Nothobranchius furzeri: one gene and its partner. The protein of the gene in region 1 purifies or fractionates together with the protein of each later gene. This does not show direct contact. Links are inferred from orthologs where the notes say so. Each region holds a gene or a part of one and is shown on either strand. Other genes may lie near its edges. The genes, in order: ppp1r12a and rpa1.

Evidence for each region.
Region 2: the proteins of ppp1r12a (region 1) and rpa1 fractionate together in Homo sapiens (co-fractionation; 3 studies listed by BioGRID, with this or other methods). This does not show direct contact. The link is inferred for Nothobranchius furzeri from reciprocal best matches to the Homo sapiens genes PPP1R12A and RPA1.

What each region holds. Positions count from the first base shown.
Region 1 is NC_091741.1:40,817,916-40,822,482, forward strand, and holds the start of ppp1r12a (protein phosphatase 1 regulatory subunit 12A), read right to left. Parts: upstream 3,050-4,567; 5' UTR 2,949-3,049; coding exon 2,712-2,948; intron 1-2,711. UniProt on the Homo sapiens protein: Key regulator of protein phosphatase 1C (PPP1C). Mediates binding to myosin. As part of the PPP1C complex, involved in dephosphorylation of PLK1. Capable of inhibiting HIF1AN-dependent suppression of HIF1A activity.
Region 2 is NC_091753.1:47,658,847-47,663,434, forward strand, and holds the start of rpa1 (replication protein A 70 kDa DNA-binding subunit), read left to right. Parts: upstream 1-1,782; 5' UTR 1,783-1,902; coding exon 1,903-1,932; intron 1,933-2,189; coding exon 2,190-2,237; intron 2,238-2,570; coding exon 2,571-2,649; intron 2,650-3,559; coding exon 3,560-3,668; intron 3,669-3,751; coding exon 3,752-3,840; intron 3,841-3,934; coding exon 3,935-4,024; intron 4,025-4,588. Other genes in the region: serpinf2b (serpin peptidase inhibitor, clade F (alpha-2 antiplasmin, pigment epithelium derived factor), member 2b), read left to right, coding at 246-450, 586-935. UniProt on the Homo sapiens protein: As part of the heterotrimeric replication protein A complex (RPA/RP-A), binds and stabilizes single-stranded DNA intermediates that form during DNA replication or upon DNA stress.

The DNA of each region.
Region 1 (4,567 bases):
CAGACCATGAACATAAAAAGATTTGTTCAACAGCATCGTTAACATATGCTCAGAGAAAATACTGTAGCAAATGTCATCTTCATACGAAAACCTGCTCTTAAAAGCACAACTGGTTTAAATTTAATGAAAAAAGCAGTCATCACACTTTCCTCTGATTAGACATGTGGATGTGAGCAATGGCGTGACATCACTGATGACCTCTGCCAACAGAGACATTTAACGGGAATTCTAAGATCATTTACTCTCAAAGCAAAGAAAATGAGATGAGATCCCAGGACAAGTCCTACACTGTGATTTTGCCCAGTAAAAATAAAACTTTTTCTGCAAGATGAGGCATTTTACTACAGCATTTAGGTACAAAACTCAGACTTGGTAAGATTAAATAATAATACAAAAACATATTTGAATGATTCACAGCAGCTTACACAGTATACTGTACCTACTCAGTAGAATTACATCACACAATGATATACTAGTGGCAATATAAAATATACAATAAATCATTTTAAACTCATAATTAGGAAACAAATCTACTTCATACTCTTCCAACCTCTGGATCAAAGCAAAAAAAACTTTCTCTAAGCTTCTACAAATAATCTGCTCATTCTGATCTCACCACTGAATCAGTACAGTTCCACTAAGCTTCGGAATAAGGACGGGGGCATTGGTTGGTTTGAAATGCCTCCTCGTATATTTGGTAGAACACATCTTGATCTATAAACACATAATGCCTATTTTAGAACAGCTTGTGGAACATAAACTTACAAAGTGTGCTTATGATAAGGGACTTTTGATTAGTTTCAGTGAAATTGTTGACAATACAAGGGTCTGTTTTTGCTTTTAAGGAGAATGGGCATTTATTCGCTTTCTATAAATCGGTTGCCTCTCTCCAACAGTTGGTTTCTCTCTGCTAGGAGTGTCTAATGCAAAAATCTGCATCATATGGTCATCTCCATGCCACATACAAAGCAAGTGACAGTCCATGAGTGAGACAAAATGGAACAGACACTGGCTGGGATTAAAACAGGAAAGATATACAATCGGGAGGCTTTATAAACTTTGGATTTACTGAAATAAAGTGAAGATCAAGGTTAAATTATCATCTAAGACGATCAGACAATAGATTCACTTGATGATCATCTTAATTTTGCAGCAGTTTTACATGAAATATTAAGAGGATGTCTGTAGAATAGTTTAGGATTTTTTATTAGGTATTTCCATCAACACACATGAATATTTGCGTCTTTGACTCATCAAAATACAGCCTCACAAGTGGGTGCGTAATAAAAATGAACTCGATTTGGGTTCAACAAGAACAGTTCATCGTGTTCTAAAGCTAGTTTATTGCAGGCCTAGTTTATAAGCAGCATAACATTTAGCTGTTTTTCCCAGAGTGAACATATCTGTCCCACCTTCAAGAGGACACGGGCACTACGAGCACCGGCCGATCGAATATTTAAGTGTTTTTATGTGATTATTTTAATCCAGGCCCCCTTTCTAAATAATTTTACGGATGAGGTCGCCGCAGTCTGATAACACTCCGAGCACATATGCTAGTGAACGTTGCTAAAGAGATTAGCAGCAAAACTGTTAGCTTGGCACGGATGGCGTTTCTGTCAAAACAACAAACTGCCAACCGCATACACATTGGTGTTCTGATACACGCCACAAAGACAAGAAATGTAAAAAAAGAAAGAAATAGAGACTAGTAAGAACGAGGCACGTCGTCCGTCACCTCGGCTAATGAATGAATCGAGTCAAAATCAACTCCATAACAGCCAGCGTCGGTTATCTTAGCATGCTAACAGCGCTAGCTCACAACTCACTACATTTTATTCTTCATTGTAAATACCACTGCGTTTATTAATTATGTCAGAAGAAATAATACATAAATGTCACTTAAAGACATCAATTAGAGTTAAAATAACAACTAATGTCCAATAACTTTGGTTTCACCCCCTGAGAGTCGTCGCTGCTGAGGGATTTATCAACAAAACGACTTTTACTGCTAGCCAGGTAATAGCCGGTGCTGTGTGCTGGGGGAAAACACTCTTTCACGAATGCACCCCATATAGTTAACATATATATTTTAAAAACAGTATAACTGATGGAACGTGGGGTCTTGAGGGTAGCAAAGTGTCAACATTCGGTTTGTTTCTTTAGAGTTTGCCATTCTACGCCAGTGGAAGTTCTTGCGGCACTACACCATCCGCTGGTGGAATCAACTGATCTGGGATTATGCTTCTACACATGACAGCTACTACTAAAGAGACTACTTAGGACACATTTTAAGTTTTAGATTTTACACAGCAATCACTGCACACGAGAAAACGTCATTACTAATTTGTCTAAAACCACTCCAGAAAAAAGACGACATAGCTGTGGGATTTTGAGCTACAACAGAACAGCAATTAGACTGCACCCAAAGGCTTTAATACGGATCGAAGCTAGTCTATAAAGGCTAAAAGAAATCAAACTAAAAAAACGAAGTTCTGTAATATGTGCACAGGCATTAAACCAGTTAATAGGGCTCAGGAAGGTGCTAATCTATTCTCAGCGTCGAAAAAGGCGAGTGTGCAAGGTAGGTAAACAGCGAAGTGAGAATGGCTTCAATTTGACAGGTGTTACAACACAGGAAGCAGTTACAGACGGTAAACTGATGCTACGGTGCAAATAGATAAAATGGCCAACAATGGCAATCAGACACGAACCTGGTGAAGAGCAGTGAGACCGTCTACATTGGCGTAGTTGATGTCAGCGCCCCGGTCAAGTAGACGGAGCACCTCCTCGGTATCGCCGCTTGAGCAGGCAGCCAGAAACACGGCGCCATCATCGAACTTCACCTTCGTCTTCTTCTTTTTCAAAACAGAAGGTTCCTGGTCCGTTTCCGAGCCCAGCCATTGCTTTAGCTGTTCATTCCTCTTCTGCTTGGCGTCCGCCATCTTCATCCCCCTCCTGACTCAGACTTCTTATCGTTGTCCGAGAGAGGGTATACTTTATAGTGCCACTATCCCACAACGCACTGGGGCGTGGGAAGAGGGGAGGGCTGTGGAGGAGGAGGAGGGGACACGGCGTGAAAGAGGACGTCTGGAAATTTCCGATAATCTCGCGAGAACTGGAGCTCAGGCGAGGCAGCATCAGATCAGACTGCAGCATAACGTCATTAGTTGGGATCTCTGGCAAACCGATGGGACATATAATATTTTATGTACATGATTTTTGAGGGATGTGACTAAAATTGAATCTTTACTATTCAAATATGTGTATAAAAATGAACCGAATGTAAAATAGAACTAGTTGTAACTGCAAATTCATTATGTAATTCAATTCAAGTTCATTTATATAGCGCCAAATCACGACAAGAGAAGTCTCAAGGCACTTCACACAGTAAACATTCCAGTTCAGGTCATCATGGACGTAATTTTGGGGGGGACAGGGGGGACATGTCCCCCCCACTTTTTCCAAAGTCAAGATTTGACCCCTGCACTTTTTACCATCCAAAAGCAATATTACGCTATATTAAATTGACACTGGTTGAGCTCTAGGACAAAGCGGAAAACAACTGTTTGTGTTGAAGCCTGTTTCCCATTAGAGCATAGTGTAAAGATACCCCCCCCCCTCCCGTGTCTCCCCCACTTCTAAAGTGAAAATTACGTCCATGCAGGTCATTAAGCCAATCAGTAACAAGCTTCCTATAAAAAGAAACCCAGCAAAGTGCACTGAGTCACTGACTAGTGTCAGAGTTTTGACAGCAATACTTTATTGTTTTTTAAGTTAAATTGTATAATAATAATAATAATAATAATAATAATAATAATAATAATAATAATTATAAATATTAGTAGTAGTAGTAGTAGAATATAAATATATATATATATATATATATATATATATATATATAATACATTTTGATTATCATATAAAAACAAACCTGAAACTAAACTACAACATATATTAAATCCATGTTTTTAAGTTTAAAAACTTTTTTTTATTTTATTTTATGTTTTTGCAGTGTCTGGTACGAAATATTGTTTAAACAACCCAGGGTCCAGACCAGGAAGCAGAGTCGTAGTTTAACCCACCCCTCTGCAGCTTCTGTACTGTTACCCACCCACTACCCCATAGAGACAGTGTCCTGTCCACGGCCAAAATCACACAGATTAAATATCAGGCTTAATAAAGCAAATCATGGAAATCTCATAAATATTAGAACAAATTCTACTGAGCAGAAAACTAGAAAAATTAAATGTGGGTTGTTGAACATTAGATCAATTTTTTCAAAGACTTTGTTAGTTAATGACTTGATTTGTGATAATCAGATCTCTTTGCTCTCTCTCTCACAGAATCCTGGCTGCAGCAAGAGGACTATGTTAGCTTAAATGAGTCGACTCCTTCAAATTATTTAAATCATCATATTGCTCAAAGTACAGGGCGAGGAGGAGGAGTAGCAACCATTTTTCCGAGGAGGAGTAGCAACCATTTTTCATTCAGACTTATTAATCAGTCCCTTACCACTTAATAGCTACAGTTCGTTTGAACATCTTATTCTTAGTTTTCTTAAACCAGA
Region 2 (4,588 bases), on another chromosome or scaffold:
ACCTTTAATGATTAGTGAATCATTACTGACCTGTTTTATTGTGAGATTCGTACAAACGTTCTAATCAAGCCTTCCAGACTTAACCAGAGCCTTTAGGAATGTAAAAATATAATATAAATATCTATTTATGCAACCTTGTGGTGGTGAAGTAGTTTTAACCTCCCTCATTTGTTTAGTAAGTTCTTGTTCCGCAGCTGTGATTCCAACCCACCCGTTTCACTGCTACATGATGTCTTCTTGTGCAGGTTGCAAGGTTCCCATTCACGAAGCTGATGAGTTTGTTGGTGGTCATGCCTGAGTCTGGACAAGTTAATGTGTCTGCATTGTGTGCAAAGCTAAATATCTCTGACTTATACGAACGCCTGCCCAAAGAGACGGCCGTTCAGGTCAAAGTTCCAAAATTCAAACTGGAGTATTCTCAAGAGTTACAGGAGGTTCTTACCAAACTAGGTAAAGTTTTAGATGTTTTATTAATGTTGCAGATACATTTTAATAAATGTCAATTTTAAGTAAAAATTTGGGAAAACCACTGTTATTTTCTTAACTGAGCCTCAAAATGTAATTTTTATTTTTTATATTTTTCAGGCCTCGGGGAGATGTTCCTGAATCCTAACTTGGCTGATATTGCAGACGGCCCCCTGCTGGTGTCCAGTGTGATGCACAAGTCAAGCATGGAAATAAATGAGGATGGTGCAGAAGCTGCTGCAGCCACCAACATAGTTATCTCACGGGCAGCAATTCCAGTTTTCCACCTCACTAAGCCCTTCTTTTTTGTGCTTATGGATGACGTAACTCAAATACCAATCTTCATGGGTGTCATCAACAATCCTAATCCTGGAGCCCCTATCCTGCAGAAAGGACAGTTTGGAAGCAAAGATAAAATGGGTTTCTCATATGACAAAGATCACATGAGCTCATTTGGGGGTCCTAAATAGGAAATACAAATCTGTCCATTTCTTGAGAGAAAGCTAGGAGTTAGCAGTTGTACAGACTAGTCTGGATCAAAATATGTGTGAAAATAAAAACGTTTTGTTTGTTTCATAAGGAAATAATTATGCTTTAAAGCCCAATAGTCATTTTAAGAGGAATATTCATTTTACATGACTGTATTGTATAAGATGTGATGGTCAAGAAATTAAACGATAACATTAAATTCACAAAAAAGTCCCTGTCATGTTACTTGATGGTTTAATTTTCCACCACATGTGGAATGTGTCAACATGTAAAGTCTAAAATATCATATGTTTGAGCATTACTGCATGACTGAGCATTTTCTTAAAATATTTTAATTTGTTTTCTTGTGTACTTAAATCAATTCAATTTATCTAAATCAGTATTGATATGAATTAATTTGCTGAGACATTTAAATCAAATGGTTATTTAAAAATACTTTTCAAATCTTGCCATGTGACACATTTTAGGAGTTACAATATTATTGTAATATGACTTACGGTAAAATTAGTTAATTTCTTAGAATATAATTTTCCCCCTCCAAATATAGTTATTATGCGACGAGTAAAACTGTGCATAATACTAACATTCCGTGTTTTTTAAAAATCGCTGAAAACACAAAATCGGGTGTTTCCTGTTTTCAAATGTCATTGAACGCATCGCAACAAACGTCACTCAGTTTTGCGCTGAGAAATTCAGTGCTGGTCTGCGGTCAGTTTAGTGAGAATTTACCTCTAAGCCTTGCTGTTCTGACAGATTTTGGAAACTGAAGTCAGATCTGTTACCGGAAACGGAACCCGACAACACGGAACTCGACAAATTGAGCGCGCGATGCCTGAGCCGTTGGCGCCACAGGCATAAACTTCAAGCTGTTTGCAGTGATAGTTGTAGAAAACCGTCTGTCTAGCAGTTGCTAAAGTAATCTTCAGTTTCAACGCAAAATCGTCAGACATGCCTAAACTTTCAGAAGGCGCGATTGAGGTAAAGTTAATGTCAGTTCAACTAAAATGCTAACGTGTTTTTGTAGGCATTTTCCTACTATGTGTTTGCATTCGCGCGACATTTTTTACATTGAGGTTAATGGAAACTTAAAAACTAATATTGACTGAAGCTGGTGTAAATTGAAACATAATTTGAAGTAGCGTACATGTGTTTAGAAATCTTTTGTAAAAAATGAATGCTTCTACTGTTAAAACAAAACAGCTGTGTTACATTAAGTTAATTGTTTTTGTTTGCAGGCTTTAGCTAATGGCTCCGGTTGGAATGACGCAGTTCTTCAGCTGGTGGTAAATAACGAAAACGTGAAATACCATTTAAACGTATCATGCTCTTAAACGCATGTTTACTTTTGGGCTTCGTTTTTAGTTCTGACACGGTTAAGGCCCGCATCACATGCGGCCTCTTTGTTTAACCGTCATGACGTATTGAAAGCTGTGTAAACTTGTGAAGCTGCTTTTTGTGCGTTATATATTTTAGAAGAGGCATTAAACGCCACACTCTTTTTCAGAACGCTGCTTCAGCAAATTCCAACAAATCAGTAACTCAGGCATTAGTTAAATGCTTTTGCAGATTTCTTGATTAAATTGCAAGAGTTTATTATTTTTTTCTTTAACTTTTAGAACATTCGCAAAATAGAGGGAGGAAGTGGGATACCTCGCTTTCGGGTGATGATGAGTGATGGACGCCACACACTGTCATGTAAGTATGATATACATTTGGATCAAACCAGTCTCTGACCCTGGGTTTGGCATTTAATCATTTTTGAATGGAAAGTGTTAGTGAGACTGCATCTTTAGAGAGAAGCTACTCCGTTTGCAATTTTAATTTGTCTAGTTTCATAGACTCAAATCTCATTTTTCCTGCATGATAGTTCTTGGTAAATAAATAATTAGAAGGTCAGGGCAGCTGTGACCTTGACATTTGTTCGTTAGTGGAAAAAATTGGCACTATCTCCTTTGTTTACTTTGTCAGGGAAAATTTTACCCTGAAGCACTGTTGGTGTACGAATCGTGTGATGAGCAGCACATCTATTTGCGTTTTAAACGACAACATGATTAACATTTAAATGACATCTGGAATGCATATTTGTTTTGTGGTTTTATTTTGCAATCATTAAAGGTTTTAGGTAGCCTGGCAAGCTATGTTGATATATAGTCTGGCTACAACCCATAGACTGAGCTCGGTCTTGGGGCAGAATCTACATTTTGTTTTTTAAACGGTCTCTGCTTGCAATACTACAGTGCTAGCACCAATCAGAGCAACAAACAACGTGACGTATTGACAGCAACGGAAATCGCTCGACAGGGCAGTCTGCCATACATTATCGAAGAGGTACCTCCACCTGCTGCACAAGTCTAAGTCGCCCAAATTTGATACCAACACCTTTTAAAAAGAGTGCCGTTCCTGAGCCGATGCCATCTTTGTTTTGCTTTGTCACCGCTGTGGTTCTAAACTCCTCAACTCTTGCTAGACCAACCCGCAGAGCATAAATCTTCAGATACTCCTACAGTTTTTCTAGTTCTCTAGGCTAGGGTTTAGGTGCACATTGTGAGTTTTTTTTTTTTTGTTAACGTAAAGCTAACCAAACATTTTCCCTCATCATTTGCAGCCTTTATGCTTTCCACTCAGTTGAACTACTTGGCTGAGGAAAACATCCTCGCCCCAAACTGTGTGTGCATTCTGAAGAAGCATGTGACCAATATTCTGAAGGATGGACGGTATGCAGATTTCGTAGCAAATATAAAAATTTGCTATTTAAAAAGCAAAAATGAACAAGAATTGATGTAAAATCTGATTGCAGCCGAGTGGTCATCATTTTGGAAACCGAATTGATCAAACCTGCTGAAGAAGTCAGTGGTAAAATTGGAGACCCTACTCCTTACTTTGATGGTAAAACTCAATGGCAGTGAGAGAAACAGAGGTGACTCATTATTGAGTCATCGTGTTGCCATAGGCTTGTGGTAACTTGATGTTCTGTTTGTAGGTCAGAATAAAGGCCAGCAGTCTGGCCCCGTCCCTGCAGCTCCAGGCCCCGAAGTCAGACCTCCACTGCAGGCACAAAACAAGAACGACGGTAAGTTCAAGCTTTTGTCTTTTATATTTATTTAATTTTTCTGCTGAAAAAGCTGACCATAGACAAAAAACAAAATGTCCACTAGATGGCAGCAGCTTTCTGATGGTTTAGGCAATCTTAAGGTTTATATGACATTTTGACATTTGCGTACAGAAATCTTATTTTTATCCTCTTATGAAACAAAAATCTGTGCTTTGTTTCCATAACTATGCTTCCTGTTGGTGCATCGGGAGGAGTTTCCTGTTCTTTCCCTGTGAAAGACAATCACTCAACCAACTGTCAGAGTGTTGATTAGATCAATAAAATACAAATTTTACGTTCAGATTTCTGAGACCAGTAGCAGAGCTGCAGACTCCCACATCTATGTTGTGTCTGCGAGTGACGAAGCAGACATTCATCCCTGGAATCTGCCATGTGGGAGTGAAGGCTTGCAGCAGCCATCTTCCTCATCAACAGGAGGGATTGTTCATTTCTCTGTGTGTGCTGCTTGATCTCAGAGTTTAATTACCTGAAGTGCAGCGGTTGCCAAAGTGTGTGGACTCGAGTGAACACTTTGAACTCTAA